3 linked regions of the Macaca fascicularis genome follow. Each later gene encodes a partner of the first gene's protein in a complex. Links are inferred from orthologs where the notes say so. Each region holds a gene or a part of one and is shown in the gene's direction. Other genes may lie near its edges.

The links.
Region 2: CDHR2 (region 1) and ANKS4B share a complex: the UniProt entries of both Homo sapiens proteins name them as parts of the IMAC/intermicrovillar adhesion complex. The link is inferred for Macaca fascicularis from reciprocal best matches to the Homo sapiens genes CDHR2 and ANKS4B.
Region 3: CDHR2 (region 1) and CDHR5 share a complex: the UniProt entries of both Homo sapiens proteins name them as parts of the IMAC/intermicrovillar adhesion complex. The link is inferred for Macaca fascicularis from reciprocal best matches to the Homo sapiens genes CDHR2 and CDHR5.

What each region holds. Positions count from the first base shown.
Region 1 is NC_088380.1:183,478,099-183,481,747, forward strand, and holds part of CDHR2 (cadherin-related family member 2), read left to right. Parts: intron 1-669; coding exon 670-759; intron 760-1,671; coding exon 1,672-1,797; intron 1,798-1,867; coding exon 1,868-2,014; intron 2,015-2,094; coding exon 2,095-2,170; intron 2,171-2,281; coding exon 2,282-2,397; intron 2,398-2,512; coding exon 2,513-2,746; intron 2,747-3,649. UniProt on the Homo sapiens protein: Intermicrovillar adhesion molecule that forms, via its extracellular domain, calcium-dependent heterophilic complexes with CDHR5 on adjacent microvilli. Thereby, controls the packing of microvilli at the apical membrane of epithelial cells.
Region 2 is NC_088394.1:20,669,310-20,673,408, forward strand, and holds the start of ANKS4B (ankyrin repeat and SAM domain-containing protein 4B), read left to right. Parts: upstream 1-1,160; 5' UTR 1,161-1,197; coding exon 1,198-1,361; intron 1,362-4,099. UniProt on the Homo sapiens protein: As part of the intermicrovillar adhesion complex/IMAC plays a role in epithelial brush border differentiation, controlling microvilli organization and length. Plays a role in assembly of the complex.
Region 3 is NC_088388.1:522,005-524,821, reverse strand, and holds part of CDHR5 (cadherin-related family member 5), read left to right. Parts: intron 1-543; coding exon 544-636; intron 637-783; coding exon 784-885; intron 886-991; coding exon 992-1,102; intron 1,103-1,188; coding exon 1,189-1,359; intron 1,360-2,047; coding exon 2,048-2,138; intron 2,139-2,303; coding exon 2,304-2,401; intron 2,402-2,520; exon of another isoform or gene 2,521-2,579; coding exon 2,580-2,780; intron 2,781-2,817. UniProt on the Homo sapiens protein: Intermicrovillar adhesion molecule that forms, via its extracellular domain, calcium-dependent heterophilic complexes with CDHR2 on adjacent microvilli. Thereby, controls the packing of microvilli at the apical membrane of epithelial cells.

The sequences.
Region 1 (3,649 bases):
AGGAGTTCGACACCAGCCTGGCCAACATGGCAAAACCCTGTCTCTACTAAAAATACAAAAAAAAAAAAAAAAATTAGCTGGGCTTGGTGGTGGGTGCCTATAATCCCAGCTACTGGGGAGGCTGAGGCAGGAGGATCGCTTAAATCCAGGGGGCAGAGGTTACAGTGAGCCGAGATTGTGCCACTTCACTCCAGCCTGGGCGAAAAAGTGAAACTCCGTCTCAGGCAAAAACAAAACAAACAAAAAAAGGAAGTAGAGGTCGTGTGTACAGGAGCCCAGGAGCAGAGGGCTCCCAGAAGAAGCCCCCAGCTCTGTAGGGTGCTGTTTGAAACCCATGGCTATAGGCTGTAGAGAGCACATGGGATGTCTGAGTGTGCAGTGGCACTGTGAGGCTGGGCTCTAGAATGATCCCTCGTCCTGGTTCTGAGGGGCTCCGAAAATCAGAAGCCAGCTCAGGTGGTGGAGAGGCTGTGTGGGGCGGGGAGGAGGGAGATCCTCCCTGCCGCCCCGCACCCCCAGCTGCCTTCCACCCGCAGCCCTGGTGGGAAGGACAGGGGAACACTGTCCCCTGAGTGCACAGCTGAGGACACTGAAGCTCGGGGGGCAGTGACAGACGAGGGAGAGGAGGAGCTGGGTTTGAGCTGGTAAGCGACGGGTCCCTCCCTGCAGACCCTGCCCGTGGGCAGCGTGGTGTTCTCCGTGCTGGCCGTGGATAAAGACATGGGACCTGCCGGCATGGTCGTGTACTCCATAGAGAAGGTGAGTATGAAGGGGGCCCTGACCGCCTTCGTGACCGCCAGGGGGCAGCATATCCACAGACAACCCACGGGGCCCGAGCGTTGGGGTGGGGACGTTGGTCGTGCCTTGGCCCAGCCCTGGCCCCCAAACCTTCCTCTGGCCACCAGCCCCCCTCCCCGGAAACCTCACTTTGCCCACTTGCCTAAAGAGGGTGCCTGCTGCAGACCAGACCCTTCTTCCCGCCCGCCTGCTCCCAGGTCTTGTCCAGGTTCCACAGACAGTAAGGGGCGTGTGAACCCATTTCTCATGGAAACAGAGTTGCTGTTGATAGCGCCATTTACCGAGCACCAACCGCGTGCCTGGCACATACCATGCAGTCACCCCTTGGTATCTGTGGGGAATTGGCTCCAGGATCCCTGAGGACACCAAAATCCCTGGCTGCTCAAGTCCCTGGACATGCAATGGGGGTAGTATTTGCATGTAACCTAGACACATCCTCCTGTGTACTTTAAATCACCTCTAGGTTACCTCTAATACCAATGCAATGCAAATACTATGTAAATATAGCGTATTATGTATGCTATATTGTTTAGGGAATCATGGCAAGGGAAAAAGTTTGTACATCTTCAGTACAGACACAACCATTGTGAGCATAGCTACAGTTTTGATCTGTGGCTGGTCAAATGTGTGGATGTGGAACCCACAGAGATGGAAGGCTGACTGCATCTTATTGGATCCTCCTTTCAACCCACTGAGGGTTGTCACCAGCCCCATTTCCCAGAGCTGGAGACTGAGGCTCAGAGAGGTCATACGACCTGGTGCCAGTGGCGTGACTGGTCAGTGGTAGAGCTGGGGCCTTCCCTGTGTTGCTGAGTGGGATCCTCGGGGCAGGGCTGTCCCTAGGGAGACTGACCCAAGTCTGCTCTGCCCCAGGTCATCCCTAGCACTGGGGACAGCGAGCATCTCTTCCGGATCCTGGCCAATGGCTCCATCATCCTCAGTGGCAGCCTCAGCTACAACAACAAGAGCGCTTTCTACCAGCTGGAGCTGAAGGCCTGTGTGAGTGGGGGTGCCAGAGGGGGGGCCTAGGACCCACGGCGCTGGCTCACGGGCGGCCATCTCCCCGCAGGACTTGGGCGGCATGTTCAACAACAGCTTCACCATCCAGTGCTCCCTGCCTGCCTTCCTGTCCATCTCCGTGGTGGACCAGCCTGACCTTGACCCCCAGTTTGTCAGGGAGTTTTACTCGGCCTCTGTGGCTGAGGACGCAGCCAAGGTGCCCAGGGGACCTGTGGGGTATGAGTGGAAGCGGGAGGCGGGGGAAGTTTGAGGAGCACTGACCAGGCACCATTCCAGGGAACCTCGGTGCTGAAAGTGGAGGCTGTGGATGGCGACAAAGGCATCAATGACCCTGTGATCTACAGCATCTCCAGTGAGAATGGGGTGTCCCCAGGCCAGGGCTGGGCCGGGGCCGGGGTCAGTGCTCCGTCAGAGCCACTGGAGCAGCTGTTCCAGCTGTTCCACCTGTCTCCTTGCTTGCCAGACTCCACGTGGCCCGGCTGGTTTGACATCGGGGCAGATGGGGTGATCAGGGTCAACGGCTCCCTGGACCGTGAGCAACTGCTGGAGGAGGATGAGGAGGTGCAGCTGCAGGTCACGGTGAGCAAAGGCCCCACCACCCCTGTCAGAATCCTGCTCTCTAACCTCTGGCTTTTGGTCTCTCTGAGCACTGGCTCTCTGACCTCTGACCTCTGACCTCTGCTCTGTGCCTCAGGCCACCGAGACACACCTCAACATCTACGGGCAGGAGGCCAAGGTGAGCATCTGGGTGACAGTGAGAGTGTTGGACGTCAATGACCACAAACCTGAGTTTTACAACTGCAGCCTCCCAGCCTGCACCTTCACCCCCGAAGAGGCCCAAGTGAACTTCACTGGCTACGTGGACGAGCATGCCTCCCCCCGCATCCCCATCGATGACCTCACCATGGTGGTCTACGACCCGGACAAGGCAAGCGTGGTGGTGCGGGTGTGGGCGGGGGTGGCATGGTGGCCTACGACCCGGACAAGGCAGGTGTGGTGGCGTGGGTGTGGGCGGGGGTGGCAAGGTGGCCTACGACCCGGACAAGGCAGGTGTGGTGGCGTGGGTGTGGGCAGGGGTGGCTGGGGGAGGCCAGTGGAAGCCCGGATTGAGTGACAGTGCCATGTGGTGCTGGGTGGTGGTGCTGGTGGTGCAGGGCGTGGTGACGGAAAATGGGGGTGCTGTGTGCTCTCTGGAAACCTTCGTCGGTAAGCAATGTCATCCTCTGGGCAATCCATGTGGGGCTGAATAGGAGGCCGTGCTGAGTGGAGGCTGATGTTGAACGTCAGATGATGCTGAGTAGAACGTCATTGTCCGTGGTGATGGGTGGCTGACAAGGTCTCCTGGCATTGGGTGGCCATGATTTGGGTAGTCATGGGAACTGGAGGAGGCTGAGCAGTGTTGGGACAAGTGGTTTGAGGGTGTGAGGTGGGAGGGTGTTTTTTTTTTTTTTTGAGATGGAGTTTCACTCTGTTGCTTAGGCTGGAGTGCAATGGCCCAATCTTGGCTCACTGCAGCCTCTGCCTTCCAGGTTCAAGTGATTCTCCTGCCTCAGCCTCCCGAATAGCTGTGATTACAGGCGTGCACCACCTCACCCAGCTAATTTTTCTGTTTTTAGTAGAGATGGAGTTTCACCCTGTTGGCCAGGCTGGTCTCGAACTCCTGGCCTCAAGTGATCCACCCACCTTAGCCTCCCAAAGTGCTGGGATTACAGGCGTGAGTCACCATGACTGGCCATGGGAGGGCACCCTTAAGTGGAGGCTGCAGTGAGAGGTGGGTTACATGGTGGCGCTGGAGGATGAGTAACTCTGGAGGGTGTGTGATGTTAGGTGA
Region 2 (4,099 bases), on another chromosome or scaffold:
AAAATTGGGCAAAAGATTTGAATAGAAGATGTAAGAATGGCTAATAGGCACATGAAAAGATGCTCAATATCTTAGTCATTAGGGAATTTAAAATTAAAGCCATAATAAGACCATTTCACATCCACTAGGATGGCCATAAACAAAAAGATAGGCAATAATAAGGCTGGTAAGGATGTAGAGAAATTGAAACCCTCATATGTTATTGGTGGAAATGTGAAGTAGTACAGCAACTTTGGAAAACAGTCTGGCAACTTCTGAAATTTAAATGTAAATTGCCATGCAACCCAGCAATTTTGCTCCTAGATGTATACGCAAGACACATGAAAATATGTGTCCACACAGAGACTTGTATGTCAGTGTTCATAGCAGCATTATTCATCATTACTAAAAAATGGAAACAACTCAAATATTCATCATATTCATGAAACATTGAATGGATGAAGAACATTTGGTATGTTAGTACAGTGGAATATTATTCAGGAGTGAAAAGGAAGAAAGACACTACTGTTACACGCTATACATGACAAACCTCAAAAAAGTTGTGAATTGAAACAAGCTATACGCTAAAGACTATGTATTGTAGGATTCCATTTATCTGAAATGCCCATAGAAAACAAATCTATAGAGACAGAAAGAAGACTGGTGGTTTCCTGGGATTGGGAGTGGAAATGGGATTGACAGCACATGGCACGAGGGATCTTTAAGGGCTGATGGAAACGGGATTATGATAATGGGCATGCAACTTTATAAATGTTCTAAAATCATTGAATTGTATACATAAAATGGGTAAATTTAATGGTGTTATACCTCAATAAAGCTGTTCTTTTTGGAAAAAACAGCTAGTGAACTACACTAGCTCTGCATTTTTTTAAGAAATAATTTCTTACATCCTGTGCCTAGATGGCCAATATTAACTCAAGAAACTAATGGGCATAGAAAAATTAAATGTGCCTCAAAACACTCAAGATGAATACAGCAGTCTTCAATAGTCAACGTCATGTCTATTTCAGAGAGAAAAGGTCCAAGTTCAGTGGCTTGAACCTTGTTGCCTTCCACGGAAGGAAGCAGTTGGAATGAGCTTTGCCCCTGGTGACACTCTTCCTTGTCACTAATTAACCAGCTCTATAGGAAGGTTGCTCCGCCAACACCCTTCTCTGCCTGGAGAGACATCTGGCCAAGTTCCGGTGAGCAGGAAAAATGTCTACTCGTTACCACCAAGCTGCTAGTGATAGTTACCTGGAACTTCTAAAAGAGGCTACCAAGCGAGATCTAAATCTTTCAGATGAAGATGGCATGACTCCCACTCTCTTGGCAGCCTACCATGGGAACCTGGAAGCCCTAGAGATAATCTGCAGTAGAGGGTAAGTTCAACCCGATGGTTTCCGTTGGAAACAGTGTTCACAGTAGGTTTTTGCAGATAGCAGCAAGAGTCAGGGATGTCAATACAAATACTTTATCCTCTTTCTAGATTGTCTAAATGATTGGATTTTTAGAGAAAGAGAGAAAACTATGCCTAGAGATGCTCTCTTTTCTCACTGAGGTCTGGCAATATGGGAGTGGCTCATCCCTTAGCCCCAATCAGAGGAGAGACTCTGAACTCTAAGGCATTATCTGCATGGGGAAGAGGGAAGATATTTTAATTCTATGCCTTTAAAAATGCTTTTCATGAAATTTAAACAGTTTTCTCTTTTAAAAGAGGCCATTATTTTACTTGGTTTTAAGTTGTCAACCTTGGTTGGAACAAATGAGTTTTTAGTTTTTTGTTTGTTTGTTTGTTTGTTTTTTTATCTATGCCATCAAAATCCCACAGTCTTTTATTAACTTTCAATCCCAGTGCAAGCTCATGATTTTTTTTATTTTTTATTTTTGACACAGGGTCTTGCTCTTTTGAGTGGAGTTGCTGGCTCTACAAGGAATCTTTAGCCTGTCTTAGCTCTATCACTTGTTTGGCTAGTGGATAGACACACACACACACACACACACACACACACACACACACCATCTCTTTGCCCAGATTTTAATGGAGGAGTCAGCCAACTCCTCTGCTTGTTCTGCCTGTTATCAGAGGGCTAGGTTGTGTTGGCAACCATAATGCAAGAGGGTAAAGAAAGAGAAAAGGGCAAGGTAAATAAAGGAGCCAGGTGAATCCAATTCAATATACCCATTTATTCAGTATCTGTTATGTGCCAGCTACTTATCTCTTAAGAGATATTTTGCTAGCCACTGGGCACACTGTGATCAACAAGACGGCCACAATCCCTGTCGTAGTGATCAGATTTGAGAGAGGAAGACAAGGCATCTATGATGTGTGTGTGTGTGTGTGTGTGTGTGTGTGTGTGTGCGCGTGCGTGTGTTTGCTTTGAGACAGGGTCTCACTCTGTCACCCAGGCTGGAGTACAGTGTCGAGATCATAGCTGACTGCAGCCTTGAGCCCCAGGCTTAAGTGATCCTCCCACCTGAGCCTCCCAAGTAGCTGGGACTAGAGGTGTGCGCCACCATGCCCTGCAATTTTTGTATTTTTTGTAGTGATGGGGTTTTGCCATGTTGCGCAGGATGGTCTTCAACTTATGAGCTCAAGTGATCTGACAGCCTCGGGCTCCCAAAGTGCTGGGATTATAGATGTGAGCCACTGTGCTTGGTTCATCTATGATATTTGTTACAAAAGAGGAAACAGAGGGTACTAAACAGGCATTTACCTCAATCTCAGGGGTGAGGGAAGGCTTCCCTAAGGGGAAAGCATTTAAGCTGGGATTAGGAAAATGAGAACAAGTTGGCCAGGTGAAAGAGTGTTTTCCCTAAGATGGAAAACTGTGTCCTGAGAACTAGAGAAGCTGAGTATGGCTGGACATGGCTCGAGTAGGAGTGGGGTCAGGGCAAGTGTGAGAGATAAGACCAGATCACAAACAGCCTTGTCAACTCTGGTAAGGACTTTATCCTAAGGGCCCAGGAAGCCATGTCTTAGGTTTATGCAGGGAAGCTTCCAGAGTAGATTTATGTTTACAAAACTCACTGAGGTAGATGGATAACAGTCGGAGAGAATGTTTGGGGATGTTTTAATGGTTGAGATGAGTTGGACTAGGGTAGTGACATTGGGAATGGGAAGATATAGTTGGATTTGAGTGGCAGTTTGGATGTAGAATCAATAATGATTGACTGGACGTGGGCAGATAAAGAAAAAGGAGGGTTAAGGTCCCAGGTTTTGGATGTTGACACCCTTTATTAAAGTAGGGAACATTTAGGAAGAGTCAGAAGAACCCAGGATTGGGAGAGTTCTCGAGTTGAAGATTGAATGAGGAAGTGAGTGAAGCAGATCTTCCCCATCTCTCTTGTCTGATTAAAACTTTCTTTTCTCAGACACATCGATCCCCATCAGCCAGCCTTCTCCAGTCATCTCATCTCTTCTATGCAGCCTAGGGTTCCCCAGCTTTCTCCATCTACAGAAAGGCTACCTCCTTCCACAAACTGCAAGATGTCAGTTACTTTAAAATCAATGTGTTAGCCTATTCTTGCATTGCTATAAGGAAATGCCTGGGCCTGCGTAATTTATAAAGAAAAGAGGTTTCACCGGCTCATAGTTCTGCGGGCTGCACAGGAAGCATAGGAGCTTCTGCTTTTGGGGAGCCTTCAGGAAGCTTCCAATCATGGCAGAAGGAAAAGACATCTCACATGGCAGAAGCAAGAGCAAGAGAGCAAGGGGAGAGGTCCTAGAAACCAGATCTAATGAGAACTCACTATCATGAGGACAGTACTAAGGGGGATGGTGCTAAACCATTCATGATCCAGTCGCCTCCCACCAGTCCCTACCTCCAACATTGTGGATTACAGTTTGATTTGAGATTTGTTCCCCATGAAATCTCACAGATCCAAACTGTGTCAGCCACTGAGTTTGTCCTCCTAGAAGAGGGTGTGGGGTTCTTCTCAGTCAGGAGAGAGCTCTTGTTCCATTTGAGGACCATTTTGAATAGTAATGCTTAGGTATTCTCTCTCTCTCACCTGTGAAAGCTTGAAATATTCTCTTACAATAACTGTTCTGCTGGTCTTTATTTATTTTTTATTTTTAATAGAGACAGGGTCTTGCTTTGTTGCCCAGGGTGGTCTC
Region 3 (2,817 bases), on another chromosome or scaffold:
CCGTCTCTTCTAAAAATAAAAAATTACCCGGGTGTGATGGCGGCGCCTGTAATCCCAGCTACTCGAGAGGCAGAGGCAGGAGAACCGCTTAAACCTGGGAGGCAGATGTTGCAGTGAGCCAAGATCACGCCACTGCACTCCAGCCTGGGTGACAGAATGAGACTCTGTATCCAAAAAGAAAACAAAGAAAAGAACTGGATTGTCTTTCCTCGCTTGAGATTCTGCTGGTTGCATCCCCAAGTACCTGCATTATTTTTCTGTGGCGCACCTGCCACCTCCTGGCTTTATAAAGTCCTTTTTGTCTGTTGTTGTAAGTCCTGCCAGGACAGGCACCACCGGGCAGAGATTTGTCTCTTGTGATCTCTGCATCCCAGCACCTAGAGCTGTGCAGCCCCCCTGCAGCCCCCCAACACCACTGAGCGAGTGGACGGATAGCTGTCGAGGGGTGCACCTCACTCACGATGGGGAAGGATAGCGTCGAGGGGTACACCTCACTCATGATGGGGAGCGGCTGTGGGAGAGGCTGACGGCCACATCCTGCAGGTGACCCAGCTGAGGGTGTTCGTGTCAGTGCTGGACGTCAATGACAACGCCCCCGAATTCCCCTTTACAACCAAGGAGATAAGGGTGGAAGAGGTGAGGCCAGCGAAGCTGCCAGGGCTGGGCAGGGGGTGCGGGAGCCCAGGGTGAGGGCAAGGGGCGAGTGGTGGCCGGGGGCTCAACCACAGCGGGGGTCCACAGGGGCCAAGAGTGTGGCCAGACCAAGCCCCTCTCCCTCCCTAGGACACTAAAGTAAACTCCACCGTCATCCCTGAGACAGAACTGCAGGCCAAGGACAAAGACAAGGATGACCTTCTGTTCTACACCCTCCAGGAAGCGACCGCAGTCAGTGCCGCCTGCCCTGCCCCAGCGTGAGCCCCTCGCCACTGACACCCGCAGCCGCCCTCGCCCTCCCAGGCTCTTAGGCTGTGTCCTCCCTGATCCTCCCCAGGGTGCCAGTGACTACTTCTCCCTGGTGGGTGTAAACTATCCCGCCCTGAGGCTGGACCGGCCCCTGGACTTCTACGAGCGGCCCAACATGGCCTTCCGGCTGCTGGTGCGGGTGAGCGGCTCACCCCAGCCCTGAGTCCCACATGCTTGAGGTCCCCCTGGCCCCAGCTGCTCCCAGGCCTGATCTGGCTGTTGCAGGACACTCCGGAGGAGAATGTGGAGCCCAGCCACACGGCCACCGCCACGCTGGTGCTGAACGTGGTGCCTGCCGACCTGCGGCCCCCCTGGTTCCTGCCCTGCACCTTCTCAGACGGCTACGTCTGCATCCAAGCTCAGTACCACGGGGCTGTCCCCACGGGGCACACACTGGTAATGGGGAGGGAGGGGCAGTGCCCGGGGCGGGGCCTTCTAGGCAGGTTGGAGGCAGGGACGGCCAGGATCAGAAGAAGGGCAGGGTCAGGGTCAGCGGGTGGGGCCAAGTTTGGTTGTGACTTTGAAACAAATACAGACTCTCCTTATAAACCAATCTTTCCCATCTTGAGGGAGCAAACCCTGAACACACAGAGAGGAGTGTGGGCCCCAGAGCCAGGCGGTCTCAGGGGCCTGGGGAGGTGGGCTGGGGCCCTGGAGTTCTTAAGGGATGGTGAGATCTCTGCCCTGCTCACAGTCACCACTAGGCCCACACAGGCTGTCTGCAAACCTTCACAGCACCAAGGCACCCGGGGCCACCAAACAGCACATGAGAGGCAGAAACGCAGACCCCGGGAACCCCCCGCTTCCTAAATGTCTGCTTAGCCGTCAAGACAAGCATCGTGCAAATGGCACTCAGTATCTTTGGGCAACTTATTCGTTAGTGAGGGACCCACAGGGGTGTGACTCACTGTGATACTGGGACAAGGGACAGTCCTAGACAGGCAGGGATGCCCGGCCACCAGCGGGACTGGGCCCCTCCTCAGCCAGCCCTGCCCTGGCTGACCTTGATGGGGAGCCAGAGGGGCCAGGTTGGGGCCATTCACCCCAGCCTCACGACGTGCCCTCCTCTCCACCATCCTTGAAGCCATCCCCCCTCGTCCTGCGTCCCGGACCCATCTACGCCGAGGATGGAGACCGCGGCATCAACCAAGCCATCATCTACAGCATCTTCAGTGGTGAGTGGGGCCCAGCCCTCAACAATGCCCCGGACCCCTCTCTGTCCCTGTCTCTGTCCCCACCTTGGGCTGGGGAAGCCCCAGGGGCACCTGCCAGCAAGGCAGAGCTGGCTGGGTCCCTGGGCCTCAGGAGGCCGGGACTGAGCACTTCCATCGTCCTCCCAGGAAATGTGAACAGTACATTTGTCATCCACCGAGACTCCGGCAACCTCACCATGGCCAGGAGTGTCCCCAGAGCCATGACCTTTCTTCTGCTGGTGAAGGTGAGGTAGGGACCTGCACGGGGGGCAGGGCAGTGGGGGCAGGGTGGAAGGTAGGGCGGGGGTCAGGGCGGGGGGGCAGGGCCCCTGCCAAGTCTGCATCTATTCTTCCTGAGCCCCAGGCTTCAGCACCAGCTCCACCGTCAACCCCACGAGTCACGGCTGCCTCCCCCGCCTCCAGGGCCAGCAGGCCGACCTTGCCCGCTACTCAGTGACCCAGGTCACCGTGGAGGCTGTGGCTGCAGCCGGGAGCCCGCCCCGCTTCCCCCAGAGCCTGTACCGTGGCACCGTGGCACTTGGCGCTGGAGCAGGTGTTGTGGTCAAGGATGCAGCTGCCCCCTCTCAGCCTCTGAGGGTCCAGGCTCGGGATCCGGAGTTCTCGGTAGGTAGCACACGCAAGGCTGATGCCTGCCGCCCCC